Struthio camelus: one gene and its partner. The protein of the gene in region 1 purifies or fractionates together with the protein of each later gene. This does not show direct contact. Links are inferred from orthologs where the notes say so. Each region holds a gene or a part of one and is shown on either strand. Other genes may lie near its edges.

Region 1 (7,476 bases):
CTTGGGTGCTGAGCATCCACTCTTGTTATTTCAACTGCAGTTGTGTTTATTCATCACCCCACTAGCTCAAACTCCTTAGCATCACAAACTGAGCATGTGGAATCTAGACTAATGAGCTCTGAGGGTGTCCCAGATATGATACTGAGCTAATGGAAAGTCTGTGCCTTAGTTCCTGAAAGCCCCATGAGCTCCCTCATTCTCCTCAGAGATTTGCATGTGGTCACTTGTACTGAAGACTGTACTCAGTCTCTGTTCCTTTTTGTCAAGAGCATCACTGCTACAGTAGGATTAGATGAGGGGGAAAAAGAAGTAAATGGTCTCTCTCCTGGCCAACTTGTTGCAGCATAGTTGGGAGCAGAGTATCTTGTCCCTCTTGTTGCACTTGTTTTCTGTCTGCTAGAGCAGGTGAATTTTGTAGTTGGTCTGGTAAGCTTTTTGCGGATAAGTTCCTCTTCTGTTCTTGGCTTCTCCAACCACCTTTGTGCAGAAGTGTGTGTTGTGAGGTTATTCTGCCTGTCATATTTCTGAGTCAGGCTAAAGGAGATGGTGCATGTACCTGAAGGGTATTCTGCTTGAAGCCGTCCCTTGGCTTTGAAGTACTCCCTTGTGGCGGCTGAACATTCCTGTTGTCCTTGGAACTCTTTCCCTTTCTCTTGCTAAGGGATAGGGTGCTAACGTTATCCCAAAATGAAGGCTGGGTTTCACACTTTCCCCTATCTTCAATGCCAGATCCCTTTGCTTGCTCCTTGACCCTTGGTACATCTCTTAGCCTCTGTGCTGCTTCTTTGTTTTGTCGCTGGAGAGTACTCGCTTGTCCACCTCGTGAAGCGCTCTGAGGACAGAGTGCGTTCAGTCTTTATTCCACCAGCAGAATGCAAGAGTTTTTATCAGTCTGCTCAACCTGCTCCTTGCTTTAAGGTAAGGGGGACATACAGGGAGCAAGATACAGACTTCATGGCTAATCTTATTTATATCTGCATTGGAGACTTTTTAGCTGGGAGAGGTTGAATGTTTTTTTTCAAGTGAATGTATTGTCTTTTGAGCCAAGAGATGGCAAAAAGATTAGTGGCCATATTGGACCTGAAGGGGGAGGAGACATGGGAAGGTCTTAAGATTTGACTTTGTCCAGCTTTGGAAGGGACAAAATATGGCCTTGAACAACTTTTTGAAGCAATAGCAGTGAGGGGGCTGCCACCTATACAGGACCATGGATCTTTAACTCAGAAGATGCTGAAACAGCTGGCACAGGTGCTTCAGTCCCTTCCCCAGGGCTGGTACTGGCTGCAAGATGGAGCAGCAAAGATGGCTTTTTTTAGACCTGCTGGTGCGCTTTCTATGTGTTCATTTTCTACTTGGGGGCTGTGAGGGAAGAAGCTATGGGACTGCTTCCCTCTGTGAACTTTCACTCTATTCCTGTATAGTCCTTTTTCTTTCCTGACGTTGTAATTTGCATTTTACATGAATCCCCATCCCACCTCCTTCACAGTATATTTAAAAAATAAAAAAATTAAAAAAAAATGAACATGCCATTGGAGCAGGGAGCCTGGTGGTGTTCTAACTTCTGCAGACTTATTTTTGAGATGTGAAAAATTTAAATAATTGCTAAGTCTTAGGTGAGTGAGGAGCATAACGGATGTAAACATTTACATGGGATGCATTAGACTTCTGCTGTGTGTATTGTCTTTTGGTTGAAACAAATTACGAAGTGACTAACAATAAAATGAGTCAATATTCAATGATTTAAAAGCTGTGCCTTGTTGCTTTTTGCAAGTACAGGGGGATAGGCCTTTTTTGTTCTTACAGTTGGCCATAACAAGGTCGGACAATGTGAAATAATAAGCAAGAAGGTAGTGCAGATTTTTCAAAGTTTTCTGGGAAGCTTAAAGAGCAAAATGAGTGCTGACAATTATGAAAAATTATTAAACAAGTGATGTGAAATATCCTTCTAAAAGAGAGCTTGTCAGCTAGAGGCAGCAATACACGTCCAGGTGCTAGAAAGATGTGATGAGAATTGAACATAAGAAAAACTTTCCTGTATCTGCAGCCTGTCCTTGGAGTTGATTCCCTCACTAATTAAAAAGCCTCTTTTCATATTCTGTATGCCTCTAGGATGAAGACTGCTGTAATCCCATTATCCATTAAAGCAATATAAGTGCCTGCTCTGAGTTCTTCCGTGTTTTCTAGTTGCAGTAACATTGCATTAGACAATCTTCTCGTGTGCGCTCCGGCACACAATTGCACTTCCTTCTGCAAAATGTGATAGCCTCTGTATTGCCATGTGTCCATCCTTTATGGAAATTCTCTTGAGGCAAAATAGTTACAGAACTATTGCTATACTATTGCTATAATGCTGTAGCTAAAATCCATTATAATTCTACCTTTCTGTAGGGAAAGCTCCGTGAAAAATGGATTTGATTTTTTTTCCCCCCAAGCTTTTCAGCTTATTTATGTAGTATGGAGGTGTTAAGAACTAGATGGCCTTTTCTGTGACTGCCTTGGCTAATGACATGAATTAATAAAAAGTGGCTAGGACTGCACTTAACTACAGTGATGGGATGAGTTGTCTGTCAGTTCCATATTCCTCCAGATACTCACCTGAGCATTTAGATATGGTATCTAAAACTGCCAGTTTGCATGGCATCAAGAAGTCACTCGTCACAGGTCCTAGTTCTGGAGCGGGACAGATTGTTCAGAAGCATTTCCTTGTCATTCCTTCCATCAGGACAATGCTGACCCAGTTATCCCTGTGAGTCTAGCCTTAGCCCTGAAAATACTGCACGGGCAGTGCTGTGCACTTTCAGAGTGTACGCAACACATACGCCTGCAATCCTGATTCTTTGACAGCCCAGGAAGATGGCAGGAACTTTTTAAAGGAAATGTATTAGAACTAAGAGAGCGTTTGGCACAGTAATAATGCCAGTAGGGACACATAATTTGGAAAGCACATCTGGAGTTAACTCTGAAATTAGACCGGAAGTCAATGTATCGGGAAAGAATTGTGATGATGACTTAAGATTGAGCCCAGATGCTCTCTTGAGAGCGGACTTGTCGTGAGGGTGTTTGACTTGTGTCTTTGTTAAAGTTTGGAAACACTGGTGATTATGGAGAAGGCAGGAGGCTTTTGTTACCTTGTTTTTTAAATGCTTGACCTTGTGCGGGAATGAACAATACCCGCCTCAAAGCATTCTTTTCAGTCTGCTAAAACAGCATAGCAGTGAAAATTAGCATGTAATAGTTAAGACTGCCTGGTGCTGATGTGATGGACAGCAATTGCAGGAAGAAGATTTTCAGATGCTCTGCTATGTAACTTCAGCCATGGGAGGCAGGAACACGGGTTTTGCTATTGCTTGTCTGAGTAAGGCTTCATCCACTTAGATGTGAAACTTTGAGTGACTGGTAACAGACACTTGGGAGGTGAGCACCCAAAATCTTGTGATAGACGGTTCTACAAAATACAGGTAAGCTTTTATCTTCTTTCCTTACCTGGTTCGTAAGTAATTCCTACCTCTTTCCCTTCTTAAGAAATAGCTGTATAACTTGCATTAGCGAAATTGCAAAAATATCCCGAGCAAGTTATTTTTGGTCGGCTAATGTCACAGTCCTCATGTGCTGACTTTACAAATTTTTCTGGAATGTCTCCAGTTTAATGCTAATTTTGAAATACAGAAGATACCTGCTTTAATTCCAGGCAATTAAAATAATGGAAAATCCGAATCTATAATCTTAGTGAAAAATTCTAGGGTCACAGTTTGGTTGTTGAATGATTCTTAATACATTAATTTGTGTGTTTTAGCTGTGTTAAATGGAGTAAAAATGGACACTTGCTAAGCTTCGAAGCCTATTCTGAATTATTCTGGGGGTCTTGATCGGTTTTTGGCCTTTTGAACGTCAGTGCCCCGGGAAGGGGGGGACGGAAGGAAGTGCTGAGGCCGGGAGAGGAGGGGGGAGAACGAGAAGGGGCCGGCGACGCTGTCGGAAACCTTCGCTCTTGGTGCAGCGCGGGGTGCTGCGAGCGCCCCCCCCCCCCGTCCGGTCCCGCTCCCCCCCCCTCCCCCGGTCCGGTCCGGTCTGGTCCGGTCCGGCCCGGTCCGGTTCCGCCCCCCCTCCCCCCCCCGGTCCGGTCCGGTCCGGCCCGGTCCGGTTCCGCTCCCCCCCCCCCCGGTCCGGCCCGGTCCGGTCCCGCTCCCCCCCCACCCCCGGTCCGGTCCGGTTCCGGCTCCCCCACCCCCGGTCCGGTCCGGTCCGGTCCGGTTCGATCCGGTCCGGTCCCGCTCCCCTCCCCCTCGCGGTGCGGTGCGGTCCCCCCTCGTCTGGTTCCGCCGCCCTCCCGGTCCGGCCCCCCCCCCCCCCCCGCGGCGGGGCGGGACGGGGCGACGGAAGCCCGCGTGCTTCCGGGGCGGGGCCTGCGCGGGGCCGGTCCGCCGCCGCCGCCGCCGGCCGAGGTCTCGCCGTCCGGCCAGTGATGGGGGAGGCCGGGCCGGGGCCGGGGCCCAGGGCGCCGCCGGAGCCCGAGGAGGCGGCGGCGGCGGCGCCTGGCGGCGCGCGAGGAGGGGGCCGGGCGGGGCCCCGCGGCGGCATCCGGGTGCTGAAGGTGGGGCCGGGGCCGGGACCCTCCGGCGGCCGCCCCCGCCGCGCCGCCCTTGGCGGCAGCCGGGCGAGGCCGGGGGTCGGGTGGGGGCCGGGCCGGGCCGGGCCGGGCCGGGGGGGCGGCGGCGCTGCCCGTCTCGACCTTGCCGGGCCGGGCCGGGCCGGGGGGGGCGGCGGCGGCCTGCAGCCCCGCCTGGCTGCGAGCGCGGCCGGGCGGAGGGGGCGGCGGGGCCCCCCGGCGGGTCCGGGGCGGCACGCCTGCCGGAGGGGGAGAGCAGCCGAGGTAGCACCTAACGGTCTTGTTTTGCTCCCTTGGCAGAGAAACGTGAAGCGCAATGGGAGCAGAAGCTGCTTGAACAGGAGTCGGTTTGGTTCCCGTGAGAGGGACTGGCTGAGAGAGGACGTTGGACGAGGCTGCGTATACGTTTATGGAGGAGATTCTGCAGTTACTGCTTCCTCTGACTTGCGCTTGGTCCTTTGTACGGTGGACACCCCGGTATCTGAGATATGCGATGGAGAAGAGAGGGAAAACCTCTTTCTGCAGCTTCATGGAGACCTGGTCAGGTGAGGGCTGAGGAAGCATAGCTCTGCTTTGAGGAATATGTGCTGTAACATGCAGGGCTCTCTGCTTGTTGTATGCCTACATATGTCATCAGGGTTGATATGGAACAGACAGAGGTGGCCCAGAGTACTGCAGTTCATAAAGCAAGGTCGTGGTGAGCCTTTTGCACATCTTAGTCAAGCCATAGGTATTTTAGCTGGGAGGGGCTGACTGGCTCTCCAACCAGAAATAGATCCGTATTTTGTAGGTAGAGGTTACTGTTCATGTACTTCTTTATTATCGTTTGTCTTAGTGCTGTTTTAAAATCAATAAAACGTAAGCCGGTTAAGAGGCTGTAAGCGATTATTCTGAGTCAGTAAAACAGGTATAGTACTTTGACAGTTATGTCTAATAATGTTTATATGTTAGTAATTTTTTGGCTAAAAATATCTTCTTAAAATGAATTGCAAGGTAAATAACAATTAAAAGTAGACACAGAGGTAGCATAAGGGTTATATAAAGAAAGCTTATGCTTCAGGTCATGCATTTTATGTCTGCAGGTTGAAAATAGACCTTGGCATAGGGTTTAATGTGTGCGAACTTTATGCTGAGTGTATTATGGACTCCTCTAGGTTTACAAGCACCCATTAGGGATGTTAGAATTTAGACTTTGCATTGATTCTTCTGGACTTAAAATTCAGTTATAAAGTTGCTGCTCCTCTTTCCTCACAAAAAAAATGCACTATGATCCTGTTACTAAAGACTAGGCGGTAGAGATTGACATCACGAGCTGAACAGGAGCAGTATCTGGCTTCCAGAAATTGAAATGAAAATCGTATGTTGTACGGGTCCAAGGATAGAAAACATATCACGTATGTTTGATCAGATAGGGGGGGTGCGAGAGGCAAGAGATGTGGAGAATAGGATGCAATTAAAACTGACCGTTGAAAATGGTATTTAGACCTGTTTGTCTTGTCGTGTCTGGGTTATAGGAAACGGAGATAGGTCAGTTAGAAAGCCGTTAGATGAGGATAGACAGACACTTGAGTGGAGCCATGGAGGCAGCTGAAAATCTCCATTCATTGACTGAAGTATTTATAAGGAAATTAGCTTGCTCTGTACCATTGCAGAGAATAGAGAGAGCATTTAGAAGAAAGCATTGACCCCTTACTGCCGATCGCAGGAAGACTGGCTGAATGTATATCTCTCTTTTTGCGCTAGATAGCAGTGCCTGTCTTTGATTTGTGGCCAGCTTTGCACTGGATTGACAAATTGGTCCTGCCACCAATGTTCTGGAAGCAAACACCAAGTTGTAAACCTGGTTAATTCCCACTCGTAAACTTGTTGCTTCATGGTGCGTCTAGCAATTTGTCAAGCTTTATCTTGAGTTTGATGGAGAGTTTTTGATTCTTGCATGTCTGTTGCCTTTGTAATTCTCAGAATATATTTGCCACAAGAGGGATCCCTAAATTACTTCCCGTTTGAGGTGTTCTCAGTAGACAAATGGGAGTTACCAGTGTTGCTTCAATCTCTGTTGATAACCGGAAGCATGCCCAAATGGTACCTGCTTGCATTTCCACAGGAAGATGACAAAATGCTCAAGGTATCCTCATGCTCTGCTGAGATAATTCCTTCCTTGCACAAAGTTTGCTGATTACTTTAATAACGTGTTTGTGAATACAGATTGCTCAATCAAGCATCTGATTGCATTTTTCCATGAGTGTGTTAGTCTCCCAAATAGCTTCTGAATTCTCCACCCTTTTAATCTCAGTAGGTGACTTTCTGTCAAAACCTGAGTATGGCAAAGGATCATATGGTGTGGTACCTGACTGAATGCTACCTGGACAGCAAATGGAAGAATAACAGAAAACTTCTTCTTCATGTATTTGCTTTAAATATTCAGTAGTGTCCTTGTGATCTTTCTGCAGTTCCCTTCTAAGTATGTATGCAGTGGAGTCGGTTTCTGACAGAATTTTGTCTTATTCTTCACAGTGCAAGTCAAGGATCTTCAAGGTTTTCCTTGCTAGAATCTTTCTGTTAGCATCCTTTCCTATTCAAAAATATCCCTTCCTGCAGAGGGGAGGATTAGACAAAAATAGCATGGATACCTTCTTTGGTCTGGATACCCATCGCTACAAAACTTCTACTTAAGAAGGTTTGAAAACTGATTGTTACCAGTGAAGAAGAGCTACACGTGCAGTGGGAATTGTGAAATTGTTGCTGCTTCGTTTTGGCTTTGCTTCTGTCTTCTTACCACTTGCACGTTTGCCTAACAGAGCTGCCTCTCCCACTCAGTGGAAGCGGCCAGTATGCGATACGGATGCGGGTATAATGGGTTGTTTGTATCA
Region 2 (7,996 bases), on another chromosome or scaffold:
CTTTTACAAAATCCCCTAATGAATAAGAATGTTTCACTACAGTAGATGCTGCACAAACATTACAAAGTGATGGCCTTCATTATAAAGATTTTATGGAGTTCAGTACCCTAAACGGTTCAAGACTAATCATTTTAATGACTATTTTGGAGCGCCAAGAGCTAAATCTACAGTCAACAGAAATTTCAGCGTACCAAGTCAAATGAAGTTCTTGAAGGACCTATGATGTTTCTCCTTTATGGACAACAAGTATATCAGCTAATCTGAAATTTTGCTACCCATGTGAGATTACATCTCTTACAACAGACACTATCCTAACTGATGGGCAGAATCTCCATGTCTCGAATCTGCTTTAAAAATATCAGCACACCATCACGGTGGAGGATAAGGTGAACAGCCAAAATCTGACAGTGTGCATTTCTTCTTCCTAAGCAGAGAAAATTTTCATAGACACAAGTGCTACCATAGATAATTGTAAAAAAATGGTATTTTTCAAAATTACTGGAAGGATTCCACAACATTTGGCATCAATTTCATTAAAAAAAAAGAGAGAAGAAGAAATCAAGAAAAAGCAAGCTATTTCTTTAGCATCTTTGTAGAGCAGATGATACACCTTAGAATAAGTTGTTAACTAAGGAGAGGTCTGTATTTGAATTATCAGGAGTTCCAGACCCTAGAATAAAAGTAATAGAAGCTATTGTGAATAAGATGAATTTTTCAGTGAGTCAATTGACTTCCTATTCTTTTGATTAGGTATTACAAAAACAAAAAAACTAATATATTATGGCATTTAATATATTTAAATTCTAGCATGCTTTTAATACAGGCTACTATTCAAGAAAATTAGTAGCTGAAATATTTTCTAAATGTAAGGGAGCTTTTTTGTTTCACTAGTTTCCAGTTGCTGTCATGATACAGTACTGGTGCAGAAACATGATAGAAACTCAGTGCAAAAGTGTTTTCTTATTATGTACAGCATATTTTAGTGCATGATAAAAAGTACTTAAAATTGATTCAGTAAATTCGTAATCAAGATACTGATCGAAATCACTTATGGTGAAATTCACCCTTTGGGCCAAAGGGATTTGAGGGTGGAGGGCGTCATACAGACCAGGCAGCAGGTTTGGGAGAACAGTTACAATGCAGTCACTCAAAAAAAGCTACTTTAAGCCATCTGCTGAAAAGTGGATTCATCTTGACTTAATCCACAGTAATACATCTGAAAGTCATAGCACATGGCCAGCCCTTTCTCACCAGATAGCTCCTGCTACTCCCACACCACTATATCCCCATTCCTTCCCCAGCTCAGGCAGCCTTACTATTGCAGCCTTCATATATGCATAGTTAAGCTTAAGAAATGCAAACAGCATTCCAGTCGACATTTTAAGTGCCTGATCTACATTTAAATTTCTTACCTTTATTTATGTACAGAATCTATTTTGAGGCTTAAAATGTCTACTCTGATTTAGCCCTCAAACACATACAGTTAGATACACAGAAGTGCCTTAAACCGACTGTTTTGGTTGCTTACCAGTAAAATGGATGCATCTAAGATAATAGTTCAGATTTCAGTAAACTTTAACCAGCTCTCATGTCAGGTTATGAATGAAGTTCCTCTATGCCCAAAAGGCACTCTTCTGAAAGTCTTTTCCCCTATCCTTAAAGGTTCTGGAGAAAATTCTCCTTTTTTAAAATAAGAATTCCTAAAGAAATAGGATTACACCAAAAAAAAACCACCTAGTTATCATAAATATCTTCTCCTTATGAGAAAAACCTGCAAGAACTTGCATATGACACAGGTAATGAAGTCAATAAAGGGATATTATATTTCCGATTCTTTGCCTTTTAGACATTGCCAGAGGGTTTTTTTGGAAGAGTAAGAGAATTCCTTATCTAATACAGTACAGGCCAAGTGCTTACCTTAACTGCGGAAAACCACTAAAGGCTCTAGAAAATATTACATTTCCTCTCCGCAGCAAAATACAAAAGATGCATTCAAAAACCGAACCCACCTTTGGAAGGATCCGGATACTATTTCAGAATTAATCACTATTTCTTTTGGTCATAGTGGCTAGACAGAGTTGAGACTTGAACTTGCCACTAGAGGTAGGCAGCTTTACACAGTGATAAAACATTAAATCTTTACCGCATTTAAAACTGCAAAAATATTTAAGGAGCTGGTAGTACGGAGAAAAAAAAAAAAAAGTTAAGGATCATAATAAAACCGTTTTAACCACTTCAACGTTAAAGAGAATCTTTACTTTCTGTAGGTATTTCAGCACTCCCAAACTCCAGCAAGGTTACTCGGAATACTCGTACCTACATAGACACCTGCCCTACGAGCCACACTGCAAAGCCTGATCACGTCTCAGGTGCATTAAGAAAGTTTCCATCCACTGGACTGACTTGCCCACGGTCTTCCTTTAGGGAAGGCTTAGTGGGAGCCGGAAAGGGGAGAGGGGTGGGATGCTTCAGCCCCGCCTGACCCAGCTCAGCCGCAAGCCGCGCTCCAGCCCGCCCCTGCGCGGGCGTTAGCGACCGCGGGGCGCTCCAAGGGCCGCGGCGGTGCCAGGCGGCCCGCACCGCCGGCGGGAGAGGGCGGGGGGCCTCGGGGGTGTTGGGAAAGAGAAAAAGGCGGCTGCGTTGCCATGGAAACCGCCCTATTCCCTCTCCCCCCGCCCCCGATGGCAGTCAGGGCCCAGCCCCGCGGGCCGGCGGCGGCGGCGCCTCCCCCCCCCCCACCTCGGGGCGGGCCCGCGCCCTCCGGCCTCTCCCTGACCCCCCCCCGCCGCCGCCGCCGCCGCCCGCTGGCCCTCCCCGCTCCGCTCTGCTCCGCCCTACCCCGCCCCACCCCCCCGGGCCGGGCCGCAGCCGCGCCGCCTCTACCCCCGCCCGCAGCCCCCCGGCCCGGCCGGGCCGCGCCCTCACCTGCACTTTCCGCCGCCCCGCCGTGTTCTGCCGATGATGCGCCGCCATCTTGCATGTTGACACTCTGATGTCATTTCCGAGGAGGGTGAGCCGCGCCGGAAGTCCCGCCCCTTTCCCTCCCTGTAGCCGCGTAGCGGGATGGGGAGGTGTGGCTGGCCGCGGCGTTGCTAGGGGAGCTGCCCGAGGGGGCGGGGCCTGAGGGGCGGGGCCTGAGGGGGGCGGGGCGAGGCGCGGGATGGAGGCGCGGGATGGAGGCTCCGCCATGTCGTGCGCGGGCCGAGGGCTGCGGGTTGCGACGGCGACCGCCTGCCGCGCGGGGCAAACGCTGCAAGGGAGATGCAGCCCGAGCCCTTGTGTGAGGCTGTCCTGTCACGGCCGCCTCACGTGTTACAAAAAGAGGATAGCGCTGATAGCGAGCCGCCTCGGGAGCAGAGCGGGTGCGCGTTGTTTTGTCAGACGGACGGCCATCCCCCCTCACGTCCCCTCGGGCCGCATCCTTCCCTCCTCCGTGAGGCCAGCAGGTGCTGGGCCACACCGCGCCCTGTGAGAGAAGGCAGCTCGGGGGGGACCGGGCCGGCCTCATGCTTCGGGGTGGACGTCCCGCCCCGACACCTGAGGAGCTCTCATCTTGTGGGCGATAGCTATGTGAAGTGGTGTGTGGCGGACTGCCTTGGTGGAAGACATCTTTACGGTGCTGGTTCTTACAGCAGAACTGCAAAGCAGTGAAGGTGGTTAGAAGAGGAGATGGGTGGGATGAGCAGATAATTAGTGAAAAAGAAGGATTTTTACTGGCAGAGCAAATAATCAGTAAAGGGGTAAGGAAGAAAGGGTGTTGGTTCATGTTCTTGATCAATACTGGTTGCAGCCATATGTGGAAGACTCAGTAGCTGCTTCAGTTCTGCTACAGAGATAAACTTTGTGTATTTTGATACAGATCGTGTCTTCTAGCATTGCTGAGTGCAGCAGGATCTCATCACAGCTGCAGGTGGAGGGTATGATTCTTGAAGGAGATCTTCCTTGACCAAAGCTTTCTTAACTCTAGCATTTCTACTATTTTGTCCTTATTATGGTCGTGGGAAGCATATGATTTGAGGCACCTCATAAGTCAAGTATGAAACTGTGTTTAATTTATTTCATTTTTTCTAAGATAAAATTAAACCTTTTTCTGAGAAGAGCTCAGTTGTGTATTGGCTTCTGGCCAGCAGTAATTATCAAAGAGTCTCAGATGCTGTCATGCATAGAATATGTTATCTTATCATATTCTGGGCTGGAGAAAAATGTGGCAGTGTGAAGTCTTCTGCTTAAGTAAATATTGAGCAAAGTGCCTCGCTACATTTCAGTATGTGTTAGTCCATTAAAACGCTGAAGATTTCTTCTAATTGCACAAGTTTTGTGCATACCTCAAAGTCATCTCTTACTGTCTTTGAAAGATAGTGAAATGTTTGTGTTTATGATTTTTGTGATATTCCTTGATAAACTGGAGTAATAATTTCATTCATAAATCCTAGTCATCGTTTCATAATCCATAATCACTAATGAGTTATTCATTTGATAAAATTCATCTCATCATGTTGCGTCTGCAAGGGTAGTGTTCATTTTTTGTATGTTTGGTTTAAAGTTGAATTTACTTATGGACTGAGGACCTTTTATTTCTTTACGTTATTATGGGATTTTTTAAATTTTTTGCATGTTTAAGAGCTGGCTATTCATGGATAGTCATTGCTGTTTATATATATATAATACAGTGCTTCTTAATTCTTTCAGATCATCAATTCATTAAGTTGAAGTAGAAAAAGATCTAGTGATCTCTTTATATCAGACAGTCATTGAGGTTGCAAGGGACCTCTGAAGATCGTCTAGGCCAAGGACTGTCATATTTGCCTCTTTTTTACTGAAGGCTGCTGAAGATATGAATTATGATAAGGTTCTATGCTTTATGAGAGTATGTTTAGCAAGCCTAAACTAACCCAGAGTCATTAAGTTATAAGGGTAAGATTATGCAAAAAATACGGTAAGTAAGATTTTCTTTGTTAAGCAGTAAAACTTTCAGCATTTCATCACGTTTGTCTCATTTTAGGAAAGTGATAAGATGATCTAATTTGTTAGGTTAGCTCTTTGCTTTTTGTTGTGAGACCCTCTGTTCACTTGTTTAACTGTGACAAAATTGACTCTTCCACATGCAAGCTTCCATTTTGGGTTCCTCCTTTGGGTATTGAGTGAGGTTTTTGATATTAGGGAAACTATGTTTTGATATATGAGTCCAGAGGTGACTTTTCAATTTCCATGAAAATCATCTCTGGCTAAATTGTGAGCTTCTGAAAACACCAGTGTGAGCAAAAGAAGGTTGAGCCAAAATGGAAGCAGGGAGAATTGAATAGGGTCAAGGGGTTAAGCCAGGAGGTTGACACCAGGAGAAAAGTAGGATGAAAGTGCAAGGAATAGAAATGCTTATTGGGTGAATAATCATTGTAATAGGTAAGAATATAAAGATAATATTTCCTCTGTACTGGTAGACTCAAGAGTCCGATAGCATTTCCCTGCTTCTTCTGTCTTCTGTTCCAGTCCTGCTTTGTAAGGTTTGACTTTCACAGGCTTCCAAAAAATGTTAAAAGGATTCAGAAATATGCGATAAGAATGATTTGAGGCCTGAAAAGTATGAATGACGATGAAAAATCCAGATGGATTTTTTCTACAGAAGAAGAGAGGAAACATGATAGCTATTTTCAAATAAATAAAAAGAAAAATGGAATAAACTCCTTCGTGTCCATGATGAATGAGACAAGAAGTAATGGGCTGAAATTACAGTTCAGGAAATTCAAATGAGGCACTAGAAAAACCTTTCTGGCAGTCAGGATGGTGAAGCACTGGAACACGTTCCGTATGGAGGTTTTGGAATCACCATCTGCTGTATCGAATATCTCTAGGAATTATATCAGTGTAGCTGATGCTGCCTTGGGCTATAGCAAGGACTAGATGCTTTTAGGAGATCCCTTCCAACTTTGTTTTTTCGTATAATTATGCAACTACAAGTGGAAAAGGGTGTTCGTAAAGGAAAACCTCTTTAATCCATCAAGAAAAGCCATAATAGGTTCCCTAGCTGGGAGATGAGCTAGATGAATTCGAGGCAGGAAGAAGATGCGTGTTTTAAGACCAGCTAATCACTGAAAACAAATCCCCAATGGACATGATAGATTCTACGTAGCCTGAAGCCAAAAGTATTGTAGCCAATATATAATTTATGGATATGACTCTGATGTGACTGAAATTACTGTATTTAGTCCGTATTTTATGGGATGTGAAACTTGGTGATCTTAAGTCCTATTTAATTTTTTTTGCATGGCTGAATTTTTCTGGGATTTTATATTCTGCACTTCTCCATATACAAGACAATTATTTAAGTAATATAACCCACTGTTTTTTTTTTTTAAACCTTCGTGTCAAAAATCTGCTATAAAAGTCACAAAATTATGCTTACACAGCCTGTACAATAGTCACAGATACTACTGTGGTTCTCTGTAAGTAGTGGGTTTAAAACTGCACTTCTTTCTGTTAGGTTAAGTTCTGGAAAGTTGCAGAATATCATCTGAAATAAAGTTGTAGTTGTAGAAAACGGTCGAGCAAATATCCAAGTTTTCTGTAGTACGTACGCGTGTTAAGGTTTAGAATGAGTGAGTATTTGTAGAAGTTTAATGAAAAATACTGCAAATCAGTTTACACGCCATTTTTGCTTACTGGATCAGGAGTTAGTTTCTTCAGTAGCGTGGAAGAGTGAGAGGGAGTTAAATTTGAGTCACTAAGGCAGTTGGTGGGTCTGGGCTTGTATCGCAACTAGACCGTGTATGAGCAAAAGGCTCTGCGGATATACTAGCAAAACAGTGACTGCTCATTAATTTTTAATTACTACCGCTTGATGTTGAGTAGAAACTGTAGAACTAGGATAATGGAAAGAAAACAAATTTTGAGTCATTTTGATAAATAAGATGCCCCAGCTAGCTAGACAGGAGGGATGGACAGAATTTAAACAAGAGAACTTTGGAGAATAATTATCTCAGCATGAAAGTTGATTTAAGTTTAGTTTTTTCACAGTAATCTGAGAACTACTAAGTACTGTATTATAGTTCATTCACATGTACGGCTTGTTTGTTTCTCTTTAATTTGCAAAGCTGCTTGGTATTGCAAAAAATTTACCAGTTGCATCCTTGACAAAAAGGTGAAGTTTAAACTTCAATCTTACAGGGAACTGCAGTAAGAAATAGGTTTGAAACCAAATGACCCAGTCTTTGTGAGAGCTGTGGTACTTGCCGTTTCATAATCATGCCTGGAGCCATACAATAAAAGGTGACATTTCATGAAGAAACTGTATGAAAAACAGTGCATCAGAAAGATTGGAAATCTCTCATAGATGATAATAGTAATGTTTTGCATTCTTACAACATCTTACTTTTGAGGAATACAAAATACTTCAAAGATACTAATAGTATATTTTTCAGAATGCCAAGAAGAAATAGATGGAATAACTGTCTTTAGGCACTGAGCTGATTTTCAGTCTTATTCAGTGCACATTAGATCATTATGCAGAAAGCTACTTTGTGTAACAATGCCTTTAATGTGTACTTACCATAAAAGCCATTTCCTGTTATTCTGTAAAACCAATTAGCTATTTAAAAGATAGGAAATTTCATGTCAGTGTACTTTCTTACTCTGCTGTGCTGTATGAACAATGGGAAATGGGAATCATATAAATTACTATCTTGATAAATACATTAGCTACTTTACGCTATTACATTCTTTTCTAAAAGGGATTGGGGCACACCTTTAGTTTAGCTCAGAAATGTTTCTTAGTCTCCGCCCTGCAGTTCCTCCTTAGGGTAAAATCTGTTGAGAGACAAACGCAGATCTTTATGTATTTTCTATAATATAATTCCATTTCTGTGTTTGTGTGTGTGTATTCTTTTGTGTTGTGTTTTATACATAACATTGTGCATTCCAACAATAGCAAAGAAGGCAAATCCCCCCTCTACCTTTCTTTTTGCCTGCTACTCTATGTCACTCTTGTTCCGTGGATTTGATA

What was found.
Region 2: the proteins of PHLPP2 (region 1) and WDR48 purify together in Homo sapiens (affinity purification with mass spectrometry; 5 studies listed by BioGRID and IntAct, with this or other methods). This does not show direct contact. The link is inferred for Struthio camelus from reciprocal best matches to the Homo sapiens genes PHLPP2 and WDR48.

Annotation. Positions count from the first base shown.
Region 1 is NC_090951.1:392,241-399,716, reverse strand, and holds the start of PHLPP2 (PH domain leucine-rich repeat-containing protein phosphatase 2), read left to right. Parts: upstream 1-4,462; coding exon 4,463-4,591; intron 4,592-4,906; coding exon 4,907-5,151; intron 5,152-6,568; exon of another isoform or gene 6,569-6,714; coding exon of another isoform or gene 6,715-6,731; intron 6,732-7,476. UniProt on the Homo sapiens protein: Protein phosphatase involved in regulation of Akt and PKC signaling.
Region 2 is NC_090943.1:6,911,372-6,919,367, forward strand, and holds the start of WDR48 (WD repeat-containing protein 48), read right to left. Parts: upstream 3,007-7,996; 5' UTR 2,974-3,006; coding exon 2,926-2,973; intron 1-2,925. UniProt on the Homo sapiens protein: Regulator of deubiquitinating complexes, which acts as a strong activator of USP1, USP12 and USP46. Enhances the USP1-mediated deubiquitination of FANCD2; USP1 being almost inactive by itself.